Linked DNA regions of Oreochromis niloticus. The main gene of each other region encodes a partner of the protein of the gene in region 2 in a complex. Links are inferred from orthologs where the notes say so. Each region holds a gene or a part of one and is shown on either strand. Other genes may lie near its edges. The genes, in order: cpsf4 and cpsf2.

The links.
Region 1: cpsf2 (region 2) and cpsf4 share a complex: the UniProt entries of both Homo sapiens proteins name them as parts of the cleavage and polyadenylation specificity factor (CPSF) complex. The link is inferred for Oreochromis niloticus from reciprocal best matches to the Homo sapiens genes CPSF2 and CPSF4.

Annotation. Positions count from the first base shown.
Region 1 is NC_031969.2:10,421,684-10,433,588, reverse strand, and holds cpsf4 (cleavage and polyadenylation specificity factor subunit 4), read right to left. Parts: upstream 4,942-11,905; 5' UTR 4,617-4,941; coding exon 4,514-4,616; intron 4,375-4,513; coding exon 4,324-4,374; intron 3,856-4,323; coding exon 3,703-3,855; intron 3,603-3,702; coding exon 3,507-3,602; intron 3,370-3,506; coding exon 3,276-3,369; intron 3,044-3,275; coding exon 2,971-3,043; intron 2,809-2,970; coding exon 2,650-2,808; intron 1,846-2,649; coding exon 1,777-1,845; 3' UTR 1,206-1,776; downstream 1-1,205. Other genes in the region: atp5mf (ATP synthase F(0) complex subunit f, mitochondrial), read left to right, coding at 742-858, 977-1,005; shmt1 (serine hydroxymethyltransferase, cytosolic), read right to left, coding at 6,739-6,911, 7,001-7,111, 7,331-7,447, 8,667-8,789, 8,886-8,999, 9,152-9,364, 9,499-9,580, 10,324-10,484 and 3 more. UniProt on the Homo sapiens protein: Component of the cleavage and polyadenylation specificity factor (CPSF) complex that play a key role in pre-mRNA 3'-end formation, recognizing the AAUAAA signal sequence and interacting with poly(A) polymerase and other factors to bring about cleavage and poly(A) addition.
Region 2 is NC_031980.2:14,770,415-14,782,055, forward strand, and holds the start of cpsf2 (cleavage and polyadenylation specificity factor subunit 2), read right to left. Parts: upstream 4,814-11,641; 5' UTR 4,654-4,813; intron 4,286-4,653; 5' UTR 4,268-4,285; coding exon 4,119-4,267; intron 2,216-4,118; coding exon 2,056-2,215; intron 1,957-2,055; coding exon 1,851-1,956; intron 1,749-1,850; coding exon 1,619-1,748; intron 1,529-1,618; coding exon 1,413-1,528; intron 1,277-1,412; coding exon 1,089-1,276; intron 932-1,088; coding exon 641-931; intron 478-640; coding exon 377-477; intron 41-376; coding exon 1-40. Other genes in the region: riox1 (ribosomal oxygenase 1), read right to left, coding at 7,420-7,479, 7,671-7,757, 7,833-7,932, 8,026-8,146, 8,252-8,393, 8,485-8,589, 8,893-9,071, 9,430-9,464 and 4 more. UniProt on the Homo sapiens protein: Component of the cleavage and polyadenylation specificity factor (CPSF) complex that play a key role in pre-mRNA 3'-end formation, recognizing the AAUAAA signal sequence and interacting with poly(A) polymerase and other factors to bring about cleavage and poly(A) addition.

The DNA.
Region 1 (11,905 bases), on a different chromosome or scaffold from region 2:
CAATTGTGTCCTTAAACACAGAATCTTAAAAAAAATATATTTTAAGATGTGCATCTTAGCTCATGTTGATCTTGATTTTTGCTGAACCTCAGTAAAATTGGTTAGCATGGCTGCGTAGTTTTAACTCCCAATTGGCATGGATTCCAGATCTAAAAACAAGAAAGTGTAGGGGGGAAATGGAATGATTTCTTCACTTTCACCACCAACTATTTTTCATCTAAAGCTGGACTTTAGTTAAAATTATGTTGAAAATTGACTGTTTTAAAGTTTTTAGATTATTTCACTTTGTTTGATATATTGTCTGATTGGGGCCCCTTAAAGTTGATTTGCACAGAAATATGGGTAGAAAAAAATTATACCTGTTCTGTTTCAAAGTGGATTTAAAAATACTAATTTTTTAACTCCACTTTTCTTCTGTTTTGTTAGTAATAAGTAAAATAAAGTGAAAGTCCACTGGAGAGTAAGAAATCTACTCATTTTGGCTACTTTACACTTAATAATTTTAGTGTCCTTTATTACATGAGGCTCATGTTTTGCGGCACTTTATTTTTTTGAGTCACAAATTGCTGAAAAATGTCTCTTGACATTAAAGGTTGCTGACCCCTGTGCTAGTAGCTTTCCTTACTTGGAGACTAATTTGAAAATGTGGCCTCAGTAGTAATTAAGGTCACAGAATGAGTGCTCCTCTTGCATGTATTGAATACTAAACAGGACACTTGACCGTGCCGTTTTCTCTTCTAGGCCACGACAGATACTACAACAAGTACATCAATGTGAAGAAGGGGGGCATCGGTGGTGTAGCTATGCTGCTCGTTGGCTACGTGGCCATCAGCTACTTGTGGGAATACGACCACATCAGTAAGAAATATACACTCGCTTACAGAGCCTGTTTTATTTCTTTGCACTCCTGTCACAGCTAACCTCACTAGTTAAAAAAAGCTAATATTTTAAACGACTTCTGCTTCTTTTCTTGTAGAACACGATCGCTGGAGGAAGTACCACTGAGCCCCTTCAGCAGACCTTCAGGGGCGCGTCAGCTCTTTCTATCCTCGGCTCTGTGTTCATATGTGCTTGTTGTGACCAATAAAAATAAGGATTTACTGTTATGTTGTGTATTGTGTTGGGTGTGGGGTGAGTGTATTGTGTAAATCTCAGAAGTGGCTATGAGAAGATCAGAAAAGTGTGAGGGGTAAAAAAAAAAAATCTGTAACAAGAACATTTATTTGTACAGACAGAATATGTTCAGACTGTCAACAAAGCGTCTCTTCCAGCTGCTGTGTACTGCTGTACCTGCCACACACAGCTGCTAAACCGAGGCTGAAATGTCCAGAATGAGACCTTTATAGCGAGTGTGGATTTGGCTGCTGAGTACAAGCTAAATTACATTCCTAAGATGTTTATCACATTTGTTCGATTTGTTTTCACGGTCAGACTTGGAACATAGCAATGGCAGCTGCAGTCACATGACCTGAGGAACAACAGCACCTGTATTGGTGTTTGCAGCAGTCTGGACCCCGGGAGTGACTCTTCAAAGTCACCTGTACTGTACAAACCCAGCAAATCAGGCCGGACGACCTTTTTTCTTGTCACTTTCATGTGTCCACAGGCCCCAGAAAAAGTAGCAATGTTTCCCTCCCACTGTCCGTGTCTGTCGGGCGGCAGTTAGTCTTTAAGATACACCAGCATGTAGAGCAGAGTCTTCCCCCTTCCTCTCTTCTGCTCACATCAGGGGTGGTGCGCTACAGCACTGAGGTGTTTGGGGTTTGAGGCTGAAGGTTACTGACCACTCAGGAAGGCAAGATGGCCTTTAGTACATTTGTTGGCATAGTGGCCCTTCTCGCCACACTGCAGACAAGAGGAAGACAGAGAAATGAAGCGATTAACGACATTGACTACATGTTCCAGCTGTTCCCAGTAGCAAGAAAAAAAACAAATCCTCTATTTTTAAAGGAGATTGGTTTAGGGATGTTTTCCCTTCTTTATTTTCAGTTATATGTGCTGTGAGATTGGTGGATCTAACAGCACATATGTTAGATATGTGCTGTTAGATCCACCAATGTGTACAAGTTTTTAAATAATGATATCGGTGAATGTCCAAGTAAACCCTATAACCCCAATCCAAGGCTGTTGGAACAGCTGCCCCACCCACATTCATACGTGTTTGAGCATACAATTTGCAAGCGAGCCAATCAGAAGAACGTGGGAAGCAAACTTGAAACAGATGATTCCAGATTGTGTTTGAACTGAGGAGCCAGACCCTTGTGCACATTTTTCATCCCAGATACTGTTCCTGACAATCCTAAAGGGATTTGTGTCACCTCCTTTTGCTTTTAGGCAAATGTGTAAAGCACCACACTATGGAAAGTCAAGAAATTCAGAAAATTGTTCCCCTTTAAGAAGCTGGATAAATTCACAAGAGCACCAGTGATCCATCTTATTCAAACTGCAACCATGCCAAGGAAACCAGTATTATAAGTAAAACCTTACAAGTGCATCTAAACTTGAGAAAATTATGGTTTTAATGATCTAAATGTATGGCTGGTGCATGCTTTGGCAATATAACCAACCACAGTTTGATTAATGATTGTAATTACGACCAAAGAGAGAGACTGGCATAGCTTTAATCACACAGATGTATGGCTGACTTACCTTGTAGCAGGTGACCTGATCCAGCGGACGAGGCCCTCTGTTGGCATTTAGATTGTTCTGCTGAGACACAGTAGTCATGTTGTTCTGCTGCCGCTGGGCTGGGGTGGAGTTGGTGAGCTGGATTAAGGAGAGCGACGAGCGGCCAATGGTAGGCACGGGCTGCGGCAGGAGGCAAGCAGAGAGACTCTGTTTTCACTGTGCACCTCAGCAACAGGAACGAATAGTTAAACAGGAGCACCGAGAGCCATGCTGATTCATCCTCTGAGATGGATCCACGCCAGCATCAGGATGCATCATTTGAGTGTTTGTGTGTATTCTTACCTTTGCCTGGTTCTGGTTTTGCTGTGGGAGAGGAGGCTGTTCAGAAGCGCCCATAGGCAGCTCAAATCGGGGGCTGTGGAGGAACATCAATGTATAATTTACGTCACTGCAGGGTGAAGTCTCAAACAGCTTTTAGTCCAGCTATCCATCATTATGAAATCAAACAAAGACCATTTATACTGGAGTGTAATGTAATGAAATTCCTGCACAACTGCTTGGCAGATTTAACCAACTTAATGTGGAGCACAGGTCCTATCAGGAATCATACCTGTTGTGTAGGAAGTAAATGTAAAACGACTACTTACTGCATAAATTTACAGGACTTTCCTTCTGGACAGAAGCCCACCAAGTAGTTCACACAGATCACCCTTCTGGTGTGTCGGTGTCGGCAGTCAGGACCTGAGGTAAGAAGACGGAGACAGAGTTGAGGATAATAAGACCGACGTATGATGTTTTTCTCCATTTAAACCACAGAAAGGACAGGCCACGTCTATAATCAGTGGGTTTGTGGTATTAGTACTAGAATTTGACCTTACCGTGTTTGCAGAAGCCTCGGTCATACCAGGGACAGTCTTTGATCTTGGACTCTGGATCTATGTGTAGGAAAGGACACTCCTTGTTGCTGCATTCACCTGTGAGGGTCACAGAACAAAACATTAATCAGTACAGCATTCATTTGACAAGATCTGTGGAAAGTTTAACCAAATAAATGCACTCATGATGTCAACTCACCAAACTTGGAGTAGAAGTAGCATTCAGGCATCTTGGTCATGTCGTATTCGTGGAGAAACTCGCACTGGTCTCCCTTCTTACACAGACCTCTGAGCCAGTGCTTACACACCACTGTCTTCTCTCCACTGATGTGACGAAACGGACACATCCCACCTGTGAGAGACAGTGCACTCTGTGACCTTCTCCTCATTAAGATACACATGGCTCTCAGTGTCATGCCGATCACTTAAAACACAATTTAGTACTTTTCATTTTGACTTTTTGACATGAGCAAAGGCTGGCCTAATGGCAGGGATTGAAATGGTTACAAAACCGCTTAATAAAGATGGGGGGAATGGTAATTTCGCTTGGAGCTATTAACAGGAGTAATATAATTCACAACATTATGACAATGACCTATTCCTGGAAATCAGTGAGGTGCAGTACTACTGTAGCCGTAAACAGTATATCTAAGGCTGTATTTACACATGAGAGGTCGAGCTTGCTTAAAAAAAGGTCAAACAGCACCGATATGTGCGTTTGAGGGGTGTGAAGTGTCTAAACTTTAACTTTACGGAAGTTAAAGAGTTCATTGTTGGGGCCGTTCACGCTGCAGTGACATCACCAGAGTTGAGATTTTACCTTTCTGACACGCAGCTCTCATGAAGAACTCACACACAGCAGACCCGGACTCTGCAGAGACACACACGATCACAGGGTCAACAAACATAAGTAGTCAGTGGCGATCAACTCTCCCCGTCACTTTTACTGTTAATTCCGCTTAAGGTTAACCTGCAGCGGGCTGAGTACCAGCTAGCATCCCAGCACTTACTGTCCATGCCGGGGAAAGGAAGCGGCTGGGCTCCCAGCTGCTGCTCCACGGCAATCTCCAGGTCAAACTTGATGTGGTCCACGTTGGCCAGTAAGTCCTGCATGTCCGCTGCAGTCTGTTCACTCCTCCGATCAGATAAATGTCCGTTTCGGTTAAGCTAGCTCGAAGTCTAGCTACTAGCTACCAGGTTCCCTCTCAGCCTGCTAAGGCGGCTAGCCAGACTAACTGATAAGTTAGCACCCAACTCCTAACTCCGATACCGAAAATACAACAGACGCCGTAGTTTGTAGCTCTAATGTCGGTTTTAAAGACAAGCCATGGACACGGACCGTCCCGTAAATGTTTGTTTGTCCCCGAACTGCTCCTTGTTCTGTGTGGATGATGGGAGGCGCGCAGGCTGACCTCTGACCTGACAAAATCAGACAAGACTAAACGATCGCAGAGCGCTTCGTTAAATCCACAACTCGACAGAAAGTTTAAGTTTTTCTACATGATGAAGAAATGCTGCTTTAGTAAAATCTATCAGCATTTCTCTTTGGGCTTAAACTGTAACAAATGAGAAAAATTACAGAAAAAAACTGTGGAGCCAAAACAGAAATTTCTATAGTAGATCATTTGTAATCTGATTGTAAGAGAATTAAACCAGAAATTACTGTAATGTAGCATGAATAGCTGGGGGGGAGCTCTTTATCAGTAGGAAAAGATGTAAAAATTTATTACATTTGGATTTTGGTGCCCCTTTATGTCGGACACCATTGGTACAAAACATATTTTATATCAGTTTGTGTGGTTCAGAGGCCAGACAAGGTCTCATTCAGCTTCACTGTTTTTTTTTTTTTTCTCTTTATAAAATCCATCGCTGTTCCTTTCGTGGATTTATTCTGATTATTATAGAGCTTCTCAGTGTGAAAGCTGAGGGTACTGGGATGTGTTATTTTGATCTTCATGTTGAGCAAAACCTGCTTTTGGCTCATTTGAACTCAAACACTAAATCAACGCTTCTCAAACTGAGCTTCTTGTCCATTGATGGAGAGCTAAACATTAAATGTTAGATTGTAATCTAAATAATCAAATGTATAGATTAAGAAAAATTTTAAAAAAACAAACAAAAAAAAAAAAACAAAAAACAAAGCAGTGATTGTACCAACATTTGTAATTTTCAGTAGAAACATATCAGATCCTCGTTTCTAATAAAATTGGGACATAAATAAAGTTTGTTGTTTAATTTAAAATTGGTACAAAAACAACACATGAAAGGTAGAAAATTAGATATCCTTTTTTTAAAAAAAAGATTGAAACAGCATGGCATGATGCTGGCATCCGATGTTTTCTAATGTCCTGTATCACCTGTTCTTTGAGGATTACTGACCATTTTTCCAGAAAGAGACTATGTGATAGCATATACAGATTCATACAGCGGTATCCAGTTTGAGTGAAAATCCAAGTCCAGGATCTCTCTTCACTGAGAATTGTACTAGGAAGAAAAAGTGTCTACTGGAGAAAACTTATTTTCAGCCTTTGAAACCAACATCCAGCTTTCACAGGATCTGGATATTCAACTCTCCATGGACTCGTTCTCATCAGGGTGATTTGAATTTTATGACCCCTTAACTTTTATTCTACCAGAATTTTTATTTGTCCAGTTCTCTTGAAATGACATTCCAGCCAGCGTCAGCTGTTTTTCTATTGCTGCTAAATCAAGATTATTAAACCACTGTAAGCTTCTAATATCTACTTAACGTAATCAGAGTCCAGAGCACTAATGTACTTAGACTGGAAAAAAAAAAAAAAAAAAAACCCAAAACAAAACATAACAGCTGATGCTTCTTTCATTCTTAGTTTATTCAAAATGTAATTGAATAAGTTGTACTTACAATACTGTATATGTATATCATATACTGAAAATGTGGTAGTTTGCTACAAAACCTCTGAAGTGTAACCTTAATACAGATGAAAGTGAGATTTCTGATGAGCTCAAAGCTTAAATATGATTGTAACATCCGATCCTGAAGCTAAATGGAAAACATGTAAAAATGGGAAAGGCTCAGTAACAACACAGAATTAGATGGTCATTAAATCGGTTTGAACAGAAATCGTGTCTATCCATGAGAACTGTGAGTCAACAGTCAAAATAAAGGAAAAAAACCAAAAACCCAGCATCATGTGCCTTCATATTAATCTTCTTGAATCATCCGTTCAGCTGCATTTAGAGTCTGAACTGCGCTCTACAGCTCAGGTAGACCCGGCATTGGGAACTGTCCGGCGAAAGCCTCCACCTCAGCCCTGATCTCTGCTACCCGCTGCTGGAACTTCTCTCCCTGGGATAATGCCTGAACAAACTCTTTCAGATTGGCTTTGGGATCCAGACTTTTCTGCACCTCCACAGTCAGTTCAATGCCTGCGGAAGAATGGAAAGCATGGGTTATTTACATTTTGTTTGTGAGAAATCTTTTTATACCAGTTCCTCCTTTAAAGAAAAATAATTACCTCTGTGAATGAACTCAGCCACCTTCCTGAAGTCATTCTCCACCAAGCCTCTGGAGGTAAGAGCAGGCGAGCCGAACCTCAGGCCGCTAGGCCGCAAAGCACTTTTATCTCCTACAAAGATGTATGAGGAAAACTAAGAACGGGACTTTACAGAGGCATCAAGCAAGCAAAACAGATCTATCTACTTTAAAAAAAAAAAATTCTTATTATATGTTTATTCCTCTGCTTCTCTTGCTGCACTGAGCATGTTTATGACAAAAGAATTTCCCTCAGGATAAATAAAGTTCTTCTTATCTTAAATATGAAATGCGCCTTACTTGCCACACTCACCTGGACAGGTGTTTTTATTACAAGCAATGGCACATGCTTCCAGGACCTTCTCTGCTCGTCCTCCATCGGTTCCCTTGCTGCGCAGGTCCAGCAGGATCAGATGGTTGTCAGAGCCGCCTGCACATTAAGAGATTACAAAAAGGAACATTAGATGAGCATGAGGCTACAAATCATCCATCCTCCTTAACGCCACTGAGAATGTGGAGAGCTACACTCTGGGCAGGCTACTCCATCACAGAGAGATGGTCAACCATTCAGGCTCACTCAGGCTTAGGATCATCAGTTAAGTCAACGACCATATGAGGCTGATGCTGTAATTCAATTTTAATGAATCGATATATTCCCCTTTGCACCTACACGCGGCTGCACTCTCGTCTTCCAATCAAAGCAGTGCAGCAGATCTTTCATTAGGCATCTCAAAAGCTATCGTTTTCTTCTTGACTTCTGAAAAAGACTCAAAATCAGTTCTTTTGAGAGCAGATCCGATTTTAGGGAAAAGAAAGTCACATGGTGCAAGATCAGGAAAATACAGAGTGTGCAGTGGGCCAAAGAACCCTTCAGAGAGAGCAGTGTGGGTCCTGATGAAAGAGGGAACCACTTTCCAACAGCTGTAGCCTCTTTTTCTTCACCCTTAGATGAAAATGTTCGAGAACGTCTTTATAATAGAGTTTTGGTTCAATCCCTTTTGTTAATTCCTCTAGAACCCCGTCCTCTAATCCATAATTATGCTCTTAATGTCAAAGAAAACCATTAACACAGCCTTGAACTTGAACTCTTTCATCCTTGGCAACCCAGGTGATGTCCAGCCTTCTCCAGATATAAGTCTCATGAACATATTTTTCCAAAAAATAAATACATTGGATTTGCTTCAATTTGTTTCACGAGTTTATCCCAACCGTGGGATAACCTTTGCATAAATGTGCTTCTTCATGTTGTGCAAAGTTCTCCCTAACAGTCTTTGTTGGTGGACACATTGCTGGACACATTGCTGGAATCATTCTGATGCCTTCATTTGATTTGTTTTCAAACGCTCGTTCTTGGGCATCCACACCGTTCTCCATCCTCCGAAACATTCACGGGATCTTCACAGTGAAGATCACACATGAAGATGCTGGCCTTTTGAAATTTATAAACAGGGATGGTTGGTCAAGTTATTGCGGGATTGGGAATTTCAAGCCTCTTTTACTCCGAAGAATGAAAAAATAAAAAGTAAATGGGCTTAGTTATACTTTTTGCATCCATGTTGATTGCTCTTCTCCCACTCAGTGTAATTTCAGCTGGTTGTCATGGCAATTTTCACTTCCACTTGTCTATTATGGTGCTCTGCAGTACTTACCGGTGACAATCTTGTAGCCATGGTCAACAAGAGCGCTGGATAGAGCCTTGCAGTTAGCGAGAACCTGCAATTGATAGGCCTTAAACTCTGGTGTCATGGCTTGCTTCAGAGCTACAGCAACACCTGCCATTTGTTGAAAAAGAAACAAACAAAACATGACCCCAGTGAGAGACGTGAAAGAGTAAAAAGCGAAAGTGGAAGAAAATGATGAGTTAATACCTGCGATGGCGTGGTTGTGCGGTCCTCCCTGCAGTCCGGGAAACACGGCCTGGTTAATCAATGACTCCAAGTTGTACAGAGTCTCTTTTCCTTTGGCATCCACACTCCGCACGCCTGAAGAGATGGAGCGAAGAAGAGGAGAAGGTCGAATAAAAATAGTAAATTCACACATTATCAGTGTGTGGAAGAGCAGATTTATAACAGGACAAAGGGAGAAAAAGTTCAGTGCTGTCTTTGCCGTTTTTGGCTTCAGGTCCCTTTTATACCTTTTCTGTAGAAAATAAGCCCAGCACGGCAGCCACGCAGTGTCTTGTGCGTCGTCGTGGTAACAATGTCACAATGCTCAAAGGGTGAGGGCACCACTCCGGCAGCCACTAATCCACTTATGTGAGCCATGTCTCCCATCAGATAGGCACCATTCTCATTAGCAATCTGCTTCAAGCGGGCATAGTCAAGGTTGCGAGAATAGCAGCTCGTTCCTGAGAAAGAAAAAAAAGACAAAGTGTAGAGATTTTCTTTTCTTCTCCCCCAAATACCCTCAGATTTAAAGCTCCCAGTCACTGCTCACTGAGTAAAAAAATAAAAAATAAAAAACACAGGAGGGATGCACTACCTGCGATGATGAGTTTAGGGTGGAAGAGTCGTGCATTTTCCTGCAGCCTGTCGTAGTCGATGTAGCCAGTCTCTGGATGGACCTGGATGAACAGAGAAGCAGCAGATCACATCATAACCAAAACATAACACCTGCTATACACAAGATGAGGACAACACCACGTAGTTGGACTTTGGATAAAACCTGAACCAAAGTGAAATCAGTTGTTTTGATTTTGCCTACATTTACAAACATGGACAGCCACAGCAGATACTGGTCACTTTTAAGGAATCTGACGATATACAACCCATGGGAGATTCAGTCAAACTTCACAGATGTGTAGTTCATTGAGTCTGAAGTACTCACTGGTGTTCCAGATGGTTTGCTCCCACCACAAAGTGGTTTCTAGTGCTCACTTTTGTTTCCAAAAATCTTGGAAATTGCTCACCACCAATATCTAATCAGCAAATCATATGACTTCAATTGAATGAATTTAAGTATGTAGACATGATGAGCGTGACATGCTGAAGTTCAGACTGAGCATTAGAATGGGGGCAAAAAGATGTTTTAAGTGACTTTTAATGTGGTATGATTGTTGGTCTGAGTGTTTCAGGAACTGCTGAGTGAGCGGCAGTTCTCTGATGAAAAAGCCCTGTCACTGTCAGAGAAGAATGGCCAAACTGCTTTGAGCTGATAGGAAGGGAACAGTAACTCAAATAACCGCCTTGATTCTGTGATTTGTCCCAGCTGTCGTGACGAAATACCAGAGCGCATCGCATCTTTGAGAAATTTGTTCCAAACTCCCACAGAACCTTTTGGTTCCCGACCATACGTGCACATACATACCTTGTACGGCATGGATTCAAAGAAGATTGAGGTTGCCGAGATTTTTTTCTTCTCAGTCATGAAGCCGTGCGTCAGGTGACCTCCATCTGGAAGATCCAGCCCCATGATCCTGCCGTGGGGCTCCACAACAGCAGTGTAGACGGCGAAATTTGCAGGTGACCCTTACCGAGAAGCACGAACAGTATGACAGTGAGTGACAGGAGCACGGCAGATGTTGCATGCCACCGGGTGTAGTCAAGACTCAGATTTAAATGCATCCATATTTGATACCCGAGTATGGCTGAACGTTGACACCCCATTTCTCCGAGTCCAGACTGTAGGCCTCCAGTGCTCTCTTCTGACAAAGTCTCTCTAGCTCATCGATATGCTCCGTACCACCGTAGTACCTGTACACATAAATCATGCTCACCATTACAAATAATGTTCATAATGTTAATGCCACACTAATGAGATCGAGCCAGTTGGGATTTTAACTAGATTAAGCGTTGCACCTCTGGCCAGGATAGCCCTCGGAGTATTTGTTGTTCATACAGGAACCCAGCGCTTCAAGAACAGCTCTGCTGGCAAAGTTCTCAGATGCTATCAGCTCCAAACCGTACGTCTGCCTGTGCTTCTCTTTTTTAATAATGGAGAACACCTGAATACACACACACACACACACACACACACACACACACACACACACACACACACAGATTTCTGTTAGGTGGGAACTCTCAAAGGGCCTTTATTAGGTACACGTTTAATATGTAATTTGTTGTATTACCTCCACTAAACACAAACCTCTGAGTCGTTAACTGCCAGCGGCTCCAGCAGCATCTTGTTGTGCGATTCCCATTCTTCTTTGCTCACATGATGGCCGTTAGATAAAGACATGACTGCTGTTTTTTTTCTTGGTCTCACAAAGTGGAAATCTAAAAGATGAGACTTTTACACAGACATAAAAACAAAAACAATATCAATCTGAAAGGAATTAACACCTGTGTGTGATGATACAGCATGCAGACAGTGCTGCTGACAAACTGGCCCTACAGATGCTCCATTATTACAGCACAAAGCCTCAGACAAAGAGTGAATATGCAGCAGCACCACCCATGCTACAGTATGAGGTAATATGGCCTCATCAGCTAAACTTTGAACCGTCACACAGCCCAAACAGTCACTGAACTACACAATAAGCCGTATCACTGGTTATTTTGTAACCCAGATAACAAGCTCACTACTCCATGAAATACGCAGCTGCCGGATCTTTATCAGACTGTCTCTCCTGTGTGTCTCCTCATGACAGTCATGTATCTGTGCAGTGTAACCCAGCAGCGCATGCTTCTCATTACTCTTATCATCTGCTGACTGACCCAGAAAGACAGCAACAGCTGTGCAGTGCACACGCTGGCTAAACCTGAACTGAGAGGACCCCTGAACACATCACCAAGTTTAAAAAACACAAAACGTGAAAACTTCACCTGCAGAGCTAATCTGCTTTAACGAAGGTTAAAGTGCAAAACACATTTATGTCTCCACATATTTTCTCGCTGCTCGCATTAACATTACCGTCCTCTGTGTGTGAAACATTAACCAGCTC
Region 2 (11,641 bases):
ATCATCCATATCGCTCTCATCGCTGGAGTCCACATCCACCCTGCAAACCCATAAAATAAACATTAATTCTATACTTAAAAGTTTAATTTGTCTAGGAGCAGACAACTTATTTTTGCTCGGTAGCGGAATATAAATGTTTGTCATAAAAGTGTTATGACTCATCTCGCAGTTACAGATTTCCTTTTAAACAGCATGTTTGAGATTTGTAGTCTAGACCACAGTTTGCATTTGTGATGGCATTTTTTCCAAACCTAATTTGCTGCCGTACTCGTGAACTGACTGATGAAACGTTTTGTAACACCAATAGCGTCACAGAGAAAATACATGCAACCCTTAAGCTACAAGTCATCTCATGTCTTTTTCTGCAGAAACTTACTCTTTTGCTTGTTCAAGTTTTTTAGCAGTTTCTTTCTTAAGTTTCTCCTTTTCCAGGTATTCTTCCAGCTCCTTGCCTTCGAGTTTTACTCTCTTCTTGACCTGTGGTAACGAGAAAAAGTGGCAAATGGATACGGTGTAAATGACAAACTGACAAATTTTGTTTCTTCCTAAGCCGGGTCTGCATATTAGCATCAGAAGCTTCCCATGGGGCAGATATCAACACTCTGGTATAGCAAATCAACATTATGACTGCAGGACTCACCTCCAGATCCAGCATCTTTTCTCCAGGGTTGTCGATGAGGTAGCGAGCTAAGGTTCCAGGTGTGGTGCGGTACGTCAGGATGATGGAATTTTTTGCATTTTGACACCACTGGATAAAAAGTTCTCGAGAAAACCCTGACTCAAGGTCCGGTTGGCTGCAGAGCACCACCTTGGGGCTGGGTACACGGGCCAGGTCTGCCAGACTGTGGCACAGGGTCAAATGTCGGAATTGGAACGGGTTGTTCCTCTTGTCCTCAAAACACCTCATGAGCTTGTCACTCATCCACTCCACCTACAAAGGATCAGTAATTAATGAATTCATGAATTATAACAATAACAATTATGTATTATTTGCTGTGCTCTCTCTGTAGAAAAATTTAAGTTTTGACTGGAAAAATCTGAATATTTCAATAGTTTCTCCGATGTGAAAAACAAACAGTTAATGGTACCTGGGACTTTGAGAACTCCACTACATTGTAGCTAACATTGTTAAGCAGAGCGAGTGGGTAAGCTCCGAGCCCAGCATCCTTCGTCCTCCAAATCTGGTCCAGGAGCTGAGCCAGTTCCAGCACACGCCCAGCTGTATCGACGGCAATAAGGACATTGCCATCACCACGCAGGGTCTCCATCACATTGGCTGTGGAAGAACGGAAAAAGAGAATTACAAATTTACATAATAAAATCTGTAACCGTTAGAATATGGCAGTTTGAACTCACATACTATTGATGTAATAGTGTTAGTGTTAAAGCGCCCAGTGGCTATTAATACGTACTAAGTAGCTGCTCATCTCTTTGCTTGCGACGTGGTTGTACATACGCCGCATTGAAGGAGTCTGTAATAAGTAAGGATGGACGGCTGAGGCTCTCCAATGAGCAGCCATTGAGGTGGCTGGAGTACACAGAGAAAAAGAATGCATTAACAATGAGCCAAACTAAAAACAATAAAATTTCATTTCACATTAATGTTTTCTTTGCTTACATTTCTCTCTTGTGGTTAAAGTCCACGGCGTAAACAATCTCCTCCTCCCCATCCTTCACAATTTTCCAAATAGTGCCTCCAATCATGTGACCGGCTGGAAGAGGAGTAATGGAAAGACCGTGCCCTTTTCCTGTCAGGTAAAAAAAAAAATACATAAACAATCACATTGTTATATGTGGTGCATAAACAGGGAATAACACCTGACCTCTGATGTTCTGCAAATAAAACACACCTTTCAAATTGACAATCTGAGAGTACTTCAGCTGCTGGATCTTATCAAAAGCAGCATCCACATCATCAAGAGTGAACAGTGTAAAATCTTCACTGTTGTTTCGGGACTACATGGAAAGAAAGAGAGAATTTAATACAGCAATGGTAATCAAGCCAAAAAGACCCTCTGTTAATTAAATCATGCATTACCCACATCCCCTTCTTACCTGATACAGATCGTACATGAACATCTGCCCCATCTTGTAGACAGGAATCGTGGCATAGATAGTACAGTTCAGCCCCAGTTTGCCCACAGCGTATGGCAGGGCTCCCAAGTGTATGGGGTCGGGATGGGAGAGCAGCACAGCGTCGACCTGATGAACATGTCTGGAGAGGGGAAAAAAGAGCATTGCAGCAGGTTCAAGTCCCAGAAAAGTGGAGTAGTTTAATTCAAATCTTTATTCAATCGCACAGTCTCGTCTCACAAGATCAAAATTTGTTCTTTAAAGGAGAACAATACGCATTCACAAGGAGTCCAGACAGATAATAAAGCTTTACATTTTACAAGGGTAATATAGGCTTCTAGTGGCCTCTACTTTGAGGACAGTTTGCGATTCATTCAAGATTAGAAGGTGCACAGTTCCAGAAACAAAGCCAACTAACATGTGCACATGGGAAATATTTAAAGTTGTGTTTAATGTTTTCCCCCTCAACAAAGATGACATTTCATGAACTGCCCTGTACCCTTAATGATGAGTTTTGACACCTCATTACATATCAATAAAGACGTGACAACCATTGACATAGTTTTTGGGGTTTTTCCAAGGGTAACTGAATAGGCAGAGACCACCCTCACCAATTTCTGATACAAACCCAGTCATCTTGCTCTATAAGCAAGAAAAGAGCTTCAAGGGTTACTTCTGATACTCTTGGTGTTAAGATAGCTATTCAAATTGTGTAAAAATCACTTTGGAGGTTTCCTGACTTTGCACTAAAATAAGAATTTAAAAAACATTTTTTTCCCTGGAAGTTACAATTCAACCACTGTCTCTGAAATCTCTGTAGCTGTAGTTATTAGATGTGAGAAAAGAAGAGATTTTAGGTAGTTTGGAAGCCTCAAAAGTAGAGCTGTCCCTTTTATTCTCGACTCTATAGATGTTCATCCAACTGATACAGTTAGAAACGATGAGTATGAAATTTCTCATTGGTGATAAAGTACTATAATAGACAGGGTTTTATATATATGTTGAGAGGGCGAGAGAGAGAAGACTACCAAAGGCAAGGACAGACATGAAGGTGAATGTGCAATAATGGCATAGTTAGAAGACGACAGACATCCTTTAATTCTGCACTCTTGCACTACATAGCTAAGAATGATTCACATTCACAGGCAGAGATGAAGAACACAACTATTATGTGAATAAAAAGCTCTAGGTGGAAAGCATAATAAAAACCAAACTGCATCATTAATAATTCCCACTCTTCTTCTTTCCACTGTCCTCATCGTACATCATCTGCTTCCATCTCACCCTATCTCTAGCATCCTCCTCTGTCACACAAGCCCTCTTTCACTACATCCGTAACTCGTCTCAGTGGTCTTATTCTCCTGCTTGGCTACTCCATATTTAACATTCTTTGTCCAACATATTCACAACAACATCATCTCAGCCATACTTCTTTAAATTTGGTCTCCAAACCGCTCAACCTGAACTTTCCTTCTGATCTAATTCTTTCTCCCAGTGAAAATCTTAACATCTACAAAATTGCCATTAGAGTATGAATTAGGATAATTCATGTTGTATATATGTATAGGAAACAGCAATAGAATTAGAAGACATACATTTGTCCATGCTAATGAAAGCATAAAGAAGCAAAGGACTAAGTTTGGAAATCTCTCCATATATGTTGAACCATCTCCTTGCGCCTGATATTCTTCTACTACAAGATGAGACAGAAAAAGTACAAATTTAACATAAGTGAGGTAAGTTGGGGGTCTGATGTTAAGAAATTCTTGGGAGATGACCCTCAGACTACAAGACTACAAAACCTACACCCATCGTCTAATGACGGCCAGTAGTAGTAGTAGTATTATAAACTTTCTTTTATGGCAATAAAAGGTCGGCACAAGCTTTCTTTCCCCTACTTCGGGGTGGGGAGGTCAGTCATCAATAAACCAGACTGCTGTGGGTGTACTGTGTTTAGTGAGTTCATAAAGGCACATTTACTTTTTGCTAAGAGTTTTTTAAATTAGAAACATCAACTCTTTTTGAAAGACTGGCGGTATACCGACCTCTTCATAACATCTATGATTTCCATGGAGAAGTTCTCATCCCAGCCGCAGTCCAAGAGGAAGCGGAATTCATCCACCTGCAGCAGGTAACAAAGGGCAGTCTCCTCCTGAACCCCTGACACGGCTGTTAGCTTGATAATGGACGTCATGGTTCTTCAGTTGTCGCGCTGAAATATAAGAATTGTGCTTGCATGTTATACTCACCACGAAACCTTTCCCACTTAATCTAAGGCGCGTGGCTCTTTATGTGTGTGAGTGCGACTCTGAGAAAAGTCATTCAATTTAATCAACAAAGAAAACAAACACAACCATGGTTGGAGTTTGCCATTAAACTGTGTGTGAGGCTAACAGCGTAATGTTGCACAAGTTTAACCTGTGATGTATGCAGCTTACAGGCTGTAAGTAAATAAAATGTAAACACAGTTTTGTTGCTAGCCACAGCTAGCTCAGAGTTGTTAGCAGATTGCCCAGCAAAGTGTATTTACAGTGCTAGCTAATGAGTGTAAATGAACTAACAAAGGAGCGTGCACCATACCATTAATTGTAAAATAATGGATTAGTCTTCTGGAATAAAAAACAAACAACAATCTTTTTTTCTGTTATTCCCAAATTAAACCATTTTGGCTCGCGTTTTTGATAGCGGCAGACATATTTGCCGCTGCATCATGTGTGAAAGGGCAAAGGAGCATACCACATATGGTGGTGTCGGTACTAAATAATTCTATGTTAAAACACTACATTTAGATTTTTTTTTCGAAAGGTATCTGAACACATCACCTTTAACATCATATGTTCAGTGTTGGAACGTATCTAATATTCCACTACTTGTGCTTTGACATTAAAATTAATTATTTAAAAATATGAAACCACCACATCGTAAGTTTACAGTTGGTAGAATCCGATGTCCTTCGCTTGGTGAATGAGGAGCTGAAGGCCGCGGCTGGTGTAAACAGAAGGTATTATTTTAGATATTAATATTATATATTATATTCATTATTCTTTTTTGGTCGAGTCAGTGAATTTTAATGTGTTTATCGTACTAAAAATACAGTAACTAGTGCAGTTTAGAAATAATCCTTAACTACACCTTGAAACATATTGCTAAGGCTAACTAGCTGACAGGCTAGCTAGCCAAGTGCCTCTCTCTAGGATACCAAAAGTTTGTGATGAACGATCTGCAGACTTACTGGATATTTAGTATTCAGCTTCATATATATAGCTGTAATGTAATGCATGGCCACCATATAATAACTGAAGTGACCGTGGTCTGTTCTTTGACATAGCTTGATGTGCATTTAAGCTTTGCCTGTCAAACCTCATTGAAGTGCATAAAGAAATGTTGTAACACATTGTTAAGGTGTACACATTCTTATAATCTAAAGTAGGCGTTTAAAGACAGTTGTTGTGCTAATTGTGCAAACAAATGTCTGTCATTTTTAGTCGAGAACATTAGCTGATTTCGTTTTCTAGAAGTTTTTTGCAGGTCCTCTAAATCTGTGAACATGGGCTACCCCCGGAATACTACATGTTGCTAAAGATTACAACGTCTCTTTCAATGGTTGGGACTCGCAGCATGATCAAAATAATGATGGTGGCACGATACAGATATAGTGTTATGAAAAAGCATTCTCCCTTTCCTTTTTTGAGTATTTGTTTCAGATCAAACAAATTTTAACATTAGACAAAGATAACCCGAGTAAATGCAAAATCTAAATCTGTGTAACTAAATGGAAAAAAGTGGAATTAAAAGATGAAAGGTGTTGTTGCATTCATTATTACTTTTAATAAGTCACTTCAGTAATAAGTGATCTGATTTCCTACACTTTTAACAGTATTTCCCCTAATTTTATTTTAGTTAACTTTTACCCTTATTCATTTGAGAACCTCATTTAAAATCATGAATTAATAACTGATTTGTTTATTTAACAGTGGAATCTGTGATGCCAGTGTATCAATGGTGTATCTTAAAAGAAAGCAATAAGATATTGCTATATTAGTATTTAGCCTTTCAGATAGCTTAAACAGAGATCAGACTTTTCAGCAATAGTGGTAAATGTTCTTGTATCATTTATGCTTGTGCTTTCCTGCATCCATTTTTCTTATTATACAAATATGAATGTCCAACTGCAATCATAAGTTTAATTTGGGAGTATAAAACCCATGCTGTTTTTCCTTTTTTTAGGTAGGAACCATGGTGAACTTGGCAGCCTTTGCCCGCCAGTACTGGGCACACATATTTGTCCCCACGGGCTTTGTCATTGGATGGTACCTTGACAAGCAACAGGACCAGAAGTTGACAGCTTTCAGAAACAAGAGTGCTTTGTACGGAAGGTAAGAACAAGTGACTGTTCACCAAATAAAAACAAAACAAATCCCTCAGGTTATTCTTGAATTTAAAGACTAACTACTATGTTGAATTCATGGTGATGTTTGTCACTGTGTACACAATAGCCCATGGTCTGGAGTTATTAGTTCAGTGCATGGATATTTTCAATTTGGCAAAGTTATAAATACATGAAATCTGCAATTTCATAAAAAATCCACCTGTAAATATTTGAAACACATAAGATGACGCAGAATAATGACAATTAGTTTAATACATCCTGTGTTTGTGTTTTATCTTGTCTATTTTGGTGTATTTAGGCCAAAATATGATGCAATGCTGAATGCAATAAAGACCCCTTACAGATATGCAGGCTCAATTAATAAGCAACTGCCTTCTATATCTATGCAAATCCACTTTAATAGATTTCCATATAACACTTTTTGTTTCTAATGTAGTAATACACTTTTCCACTTTCAGCCAATAACTCCAGTAGTGATCTTCTGGTGTAAAACTGTGCTCATACATCATTCTGCGCTGTGAAAGCCAAACATCTTACAAAACTTCAAATTTTTCTTCTTTTTATAGGGAACTGAAGCCTGGAGAGGAGGTGACCTGGAGGTAGACTGCTCTCTACTTGAAAGCCTGTGTCGTGTGGTGTGAACGAATGGGTGTCCTCAAATCACAATATTTAAGAAGACTCCTGTACCTCTGTTTTTGAGTTGTATCAACCAATAATAAAGATGCCATTAATTAAAATCATTTGGTACTTGTTAATGATTCTGGTTGTACAAGACCAAAAATTATATATAAATTTTTTTTTATTTTTAGTTGAACAGCAAAATCACAAATGCATTATCCATTTCCAGTTGAGCTAATGAAGGCTACTTGGAGCAGACATGTTCTCCACTGAAGATCTTATTTTGTATAAAGTGATTTGATCTCTTCATGCAGTCACCATGGTGGAAGAATCTAGTGCTACACTGGTTCTGCAGTGTGGATAATCCCCTTCTCAAAAAGTAGTTCAGCCAAAGCAATCTGGGGAAAAAGTAAGGGGAAAAACATGAGGATCAACCACTAATGACAAACACATAACCAAATAAGTGATTTCACTGTGCAGAAACCTTGTTTATACAGGTACCCATCTAAAACACTGAAGATAAGCTGCCCCATATGAGACACCTTCCAACAACATAAAACTACACAGAGTGTGTGAAGGTAATAATTACCCTGTCCTGCGCAGATTCACATGGGAGGCTTCCTACTGTCACAAAGCCGGGATATGAATGGATCAGAAACTCGACAGCATCTGTGTACTAAGAGGAAAAACAAGTCAACCCCGTCATTAGCACAGTTTACGAGACCTGACAAACACATCTGCCAATGTTTACCTCTGGTTTTATTTCAAAACTCTTGAGCTCCTCTTTGTGGTAAACTCTAGAGTTGTCAGTGGTGTAGTAAAGATGAACGGCATCTCCGTCATTGCATAACCTGGCAGTAAAGATTTACAAGACAAATGACAATGACACTTTTCTGCTTTAATTGGTAGCCTTAACATGTAGTCAATAAAAAAATCTGTGTTACCGGGCACACTGAGCACGTAGAATTCTGATTTGAGTCTGTGTAATGATATGTACACCCACATCCTTTACTTGTCCACCTTCCCACCTCGTAGGTGCTCCTTGTACACTGGTGACCAGTTCATCTGTGGGTGATGGCATGAATTAGAATCAAAAGCAATATCGTGACATTATGCATCTCACTGAAAAAAGAAACTAATGCAACAATTACAGCTCTCTCCATCACATACCTGGAGTGAGAGCGGGAGGAAGGCAGTCATGAATGAAGTCTTTAGCCTTCTGATCAACAGCAGCATCTACTGGTGCGTAATTTGTTAGCCTCTTCATCAGATTATCAATTCGAGAGAAGAACTTTGCCCTGCGCGGGTCTTCCTACACAAGGATAAGTTTTATCTTTAGCTAGTAATTGGGAGTAAACGAAGACAACACCTGAAAAGTTGGTAAAAATCACTTCATTAAATACCTTGTCGGAATTCTGTACTCCCATGTACGTCAGGTAGTCCAGAGGTAAACCCCGTCTGAACTCCACGTCCTCCTCCATTGCTACTTCCAATGCTGCTGGGACCAGCTGAAAAAAAGAGCAGTAAATTCTGAATACCCTTTTGTAAGTTTAACTGTCTTAGGCAATCCTTAGGTTAAGAAAGAAAGGTGATGTATGAACCATCAGCAAAATACTCTCCACCAGAGATCATTAGTATCATCTGTCAGCAGGAAAGACTGCTTTGGTTATTATTCTTCACCTGCAATGCAAAACCACTTCATGCTGGATGCAAGATTTATACCCTTCTGCTAACTACTGGCACACGTTTCAGAGTTCGGCCGTTGTCTTCATCTGCATGCACCACAGGGGGAAACAGGGAGGGTTTTCTACCTTTTGCAGCAGATCTCCCCAGCTGTTCTTCTGGTAAGAGGAGATGGTGATGTGCAGAGAGTGTGCGTCTGGTAGGCAGTTGCCTTGATGGATAAAACCTCGAGGGAAGTAGATGAGATCTCCGGCTTCTACCACCACATCTAGGATCGGCTTACCAATGTCTGCCTGGTCGAAGTTTGCTGAAGAGAAATCACAAAGCAGACACCTCTGAGAAATCTATGCCAGCATTAATTATATTTATTTATAATTCTGTTTTTCAAGCAAGAGAGGCTATTTTATTTCCACAAATCAGTAATTTATCATTTGTAAGTGACACCACAAGACATGAAATATTTCTTTTTCTGCCCTCCTTCATCAAACCCACTCCACCATCATTCTCTTACTTTTAATTACAAGTGCTTTTTACAAAGTACCCATTCCCCTGCTGCCCCAGGATCCCACGAGGTTCAGACCCAGAGGCATCAAATAATTATGCTAACAAAACGCAACCGTTAAAAACTACTAAGAGGATTAGTTGTTGTTGTTTTTTTTACTCACGACTCGAAAGCACAGGCAAGACCTCATCGTCTGATCTAAAAGAAAAGGAAAAAAAGAGAAAACGAAAGAGTAAAAAAAAAAAATATATATATAAAAATACCAGATATAGCAAAAATTAAACAAATTAAAACCCACATATGCAAATTGACTTTATTATTGTTTTAATTCGTCTGAAGGTTCAATAAACACCCCAGTTTCACAAAAATGAGAATTTTCTGGCAATTATTTTATGGTTCAGGCTTCACTGGGTTCAATCAACACTGATTTGGATGCTTAAGTAGTTTTGTATAAAACTTTAGTCCATCATGACCCACATACTATAAATAAGTCTGTTATGCAAGTTTGCTGATTTAAAACATTTGCAGAGATTTACTAATGCAATGACATCGCATAATGTACACGCAGTGTGTTTGATATATTATTCTGGATTTATTATTATGCACTATTAATTCAGCAACAGCATGACTTTAAAATTGTGGTGCTCTTTTTTGAAAGTTTCCCCGCTGTTTTTCACCTTGGGCTGTACACTCGCCAGCGTTTCTTCCCCTCCAGCTGAACCACAAAGGCTTCAATGTCATCATAATGTGGAGCAAATCCTTGTGTGCCAGGTGGTGTCAGGTATCTGGTTGAAGAAAACACACACACATCAAGACCAAAACAAATGGAGTATTCCCCAATGTGACCGATTTTTGCTCCAAATACTAACATATTGGCTCCCGCCATGCTGCCAAACTGCTCTTGGAGGATGGACAGCACGTTCCACACCGTGGAGGAGAAAGCCTGAGGATTCAGCATGCGGAGGGAGCAGCCACTCTGGGAATTGAGACACCAAGATGACTACTAATCTGCAGCACAGAGCAGATGGCGCACTGATACAGCTAATGGAATGACTTCTATCATGCAGCAATGAAAAATATTCAAATTAAAATATTACTTAGTACATAAATATACATCTGATTTTTCTCTTAATGAAGGTGGTCCCGGAAAATATGAAAATGAGGATAAGCTTTAATGATCCCCACAGAGAAAGTGAATGCAGCTAATTTGCATCAAAGGGCCCAATTATTAGGAAAGTAATCAGGACATTAAAAATGCAGAAATCACTGTAATCTTGCTTTAGACATAATCATAAATCAGCAGCCTGCAGCACTGTGTCCCCACCTCATAGAAGTCCCACGCAGTGTATGGGAGCACTCTCCCTGGAGGATTGTGAGTCTCTCTCTTGCCATTAGTGTAACTTGTGACATCCAGGTTCACTCCATACTGAACATCTTCCTTTAATATTAAAAAGTCAACAAATATTCAGGACTTTTATTCCTTATTTATACTAACAAATATGACCAAACTGCTCTGGACGATTATTAATCTGCACAATTAGACCAGGGTTGTCTCTAATTTTACATGGCGGCCACATACTGTCGACCAGTGAAACGCCCCTTTCTATCAGTGTAAAGAAGTTTAACTAAACACTTAATCCCCGAGATATCTTAATTACTTTGGTAATGTGAATGGCTGTGGCGGAGGTCTTCATCAATAGGAAAAGCTGTAAAACTTCAGAAAAATACAGTTAAAAGTCCAAAATTTATCTCCCACTTCACGTGTTCCAAAACTGTCCAGTGGACCAGATTTGCCTTTGACGGGCCAAATTGACATTCCCGAATTAGAGGTTTAAAAAAGGTGCCAGTTTGGTTAAAACATTTGTGAGACTTCCAGTAACAGATTACAATCCTTAAAAGTGCCAATAAATCCTGCCATCCATCATGTCCCCTGATAAACACAGATGGGGAGATTATGTCTTCTGTTTATCCACCCATTCTCCAAAAATTTCAAATGCTTGGTTCCACTTGCCCCTTCCCCTGACTCACCTGGTGCTAATTCAATGTTTTGAAAAAGAAAAAGAAAAAAACATATCCATTTTTAACTAAGTTTAAGACTTAGTTTCAGGTTTCTTACCTCTCTGAAAATGCGATCGAGCTCTGCTGTAGAGAACAGTCCCTTGTAGTAATCAGGATTCTTACGTTGGACAAAGATGGGCTTTTTTTCCCATGTTTCCCTGAGGAAAGAGGGAAATGTATCAATACCCAAGGCCTGTACTAAGAAGCATGATTTAGGTTAGTTGGTTAACCCTGGGTTTTGAATATTACAGCAGCAGTTCATTTCTCAGACAGGTCACTTATGCTGCAGACCTAACCTGCTCCAGAGCAGATTATGT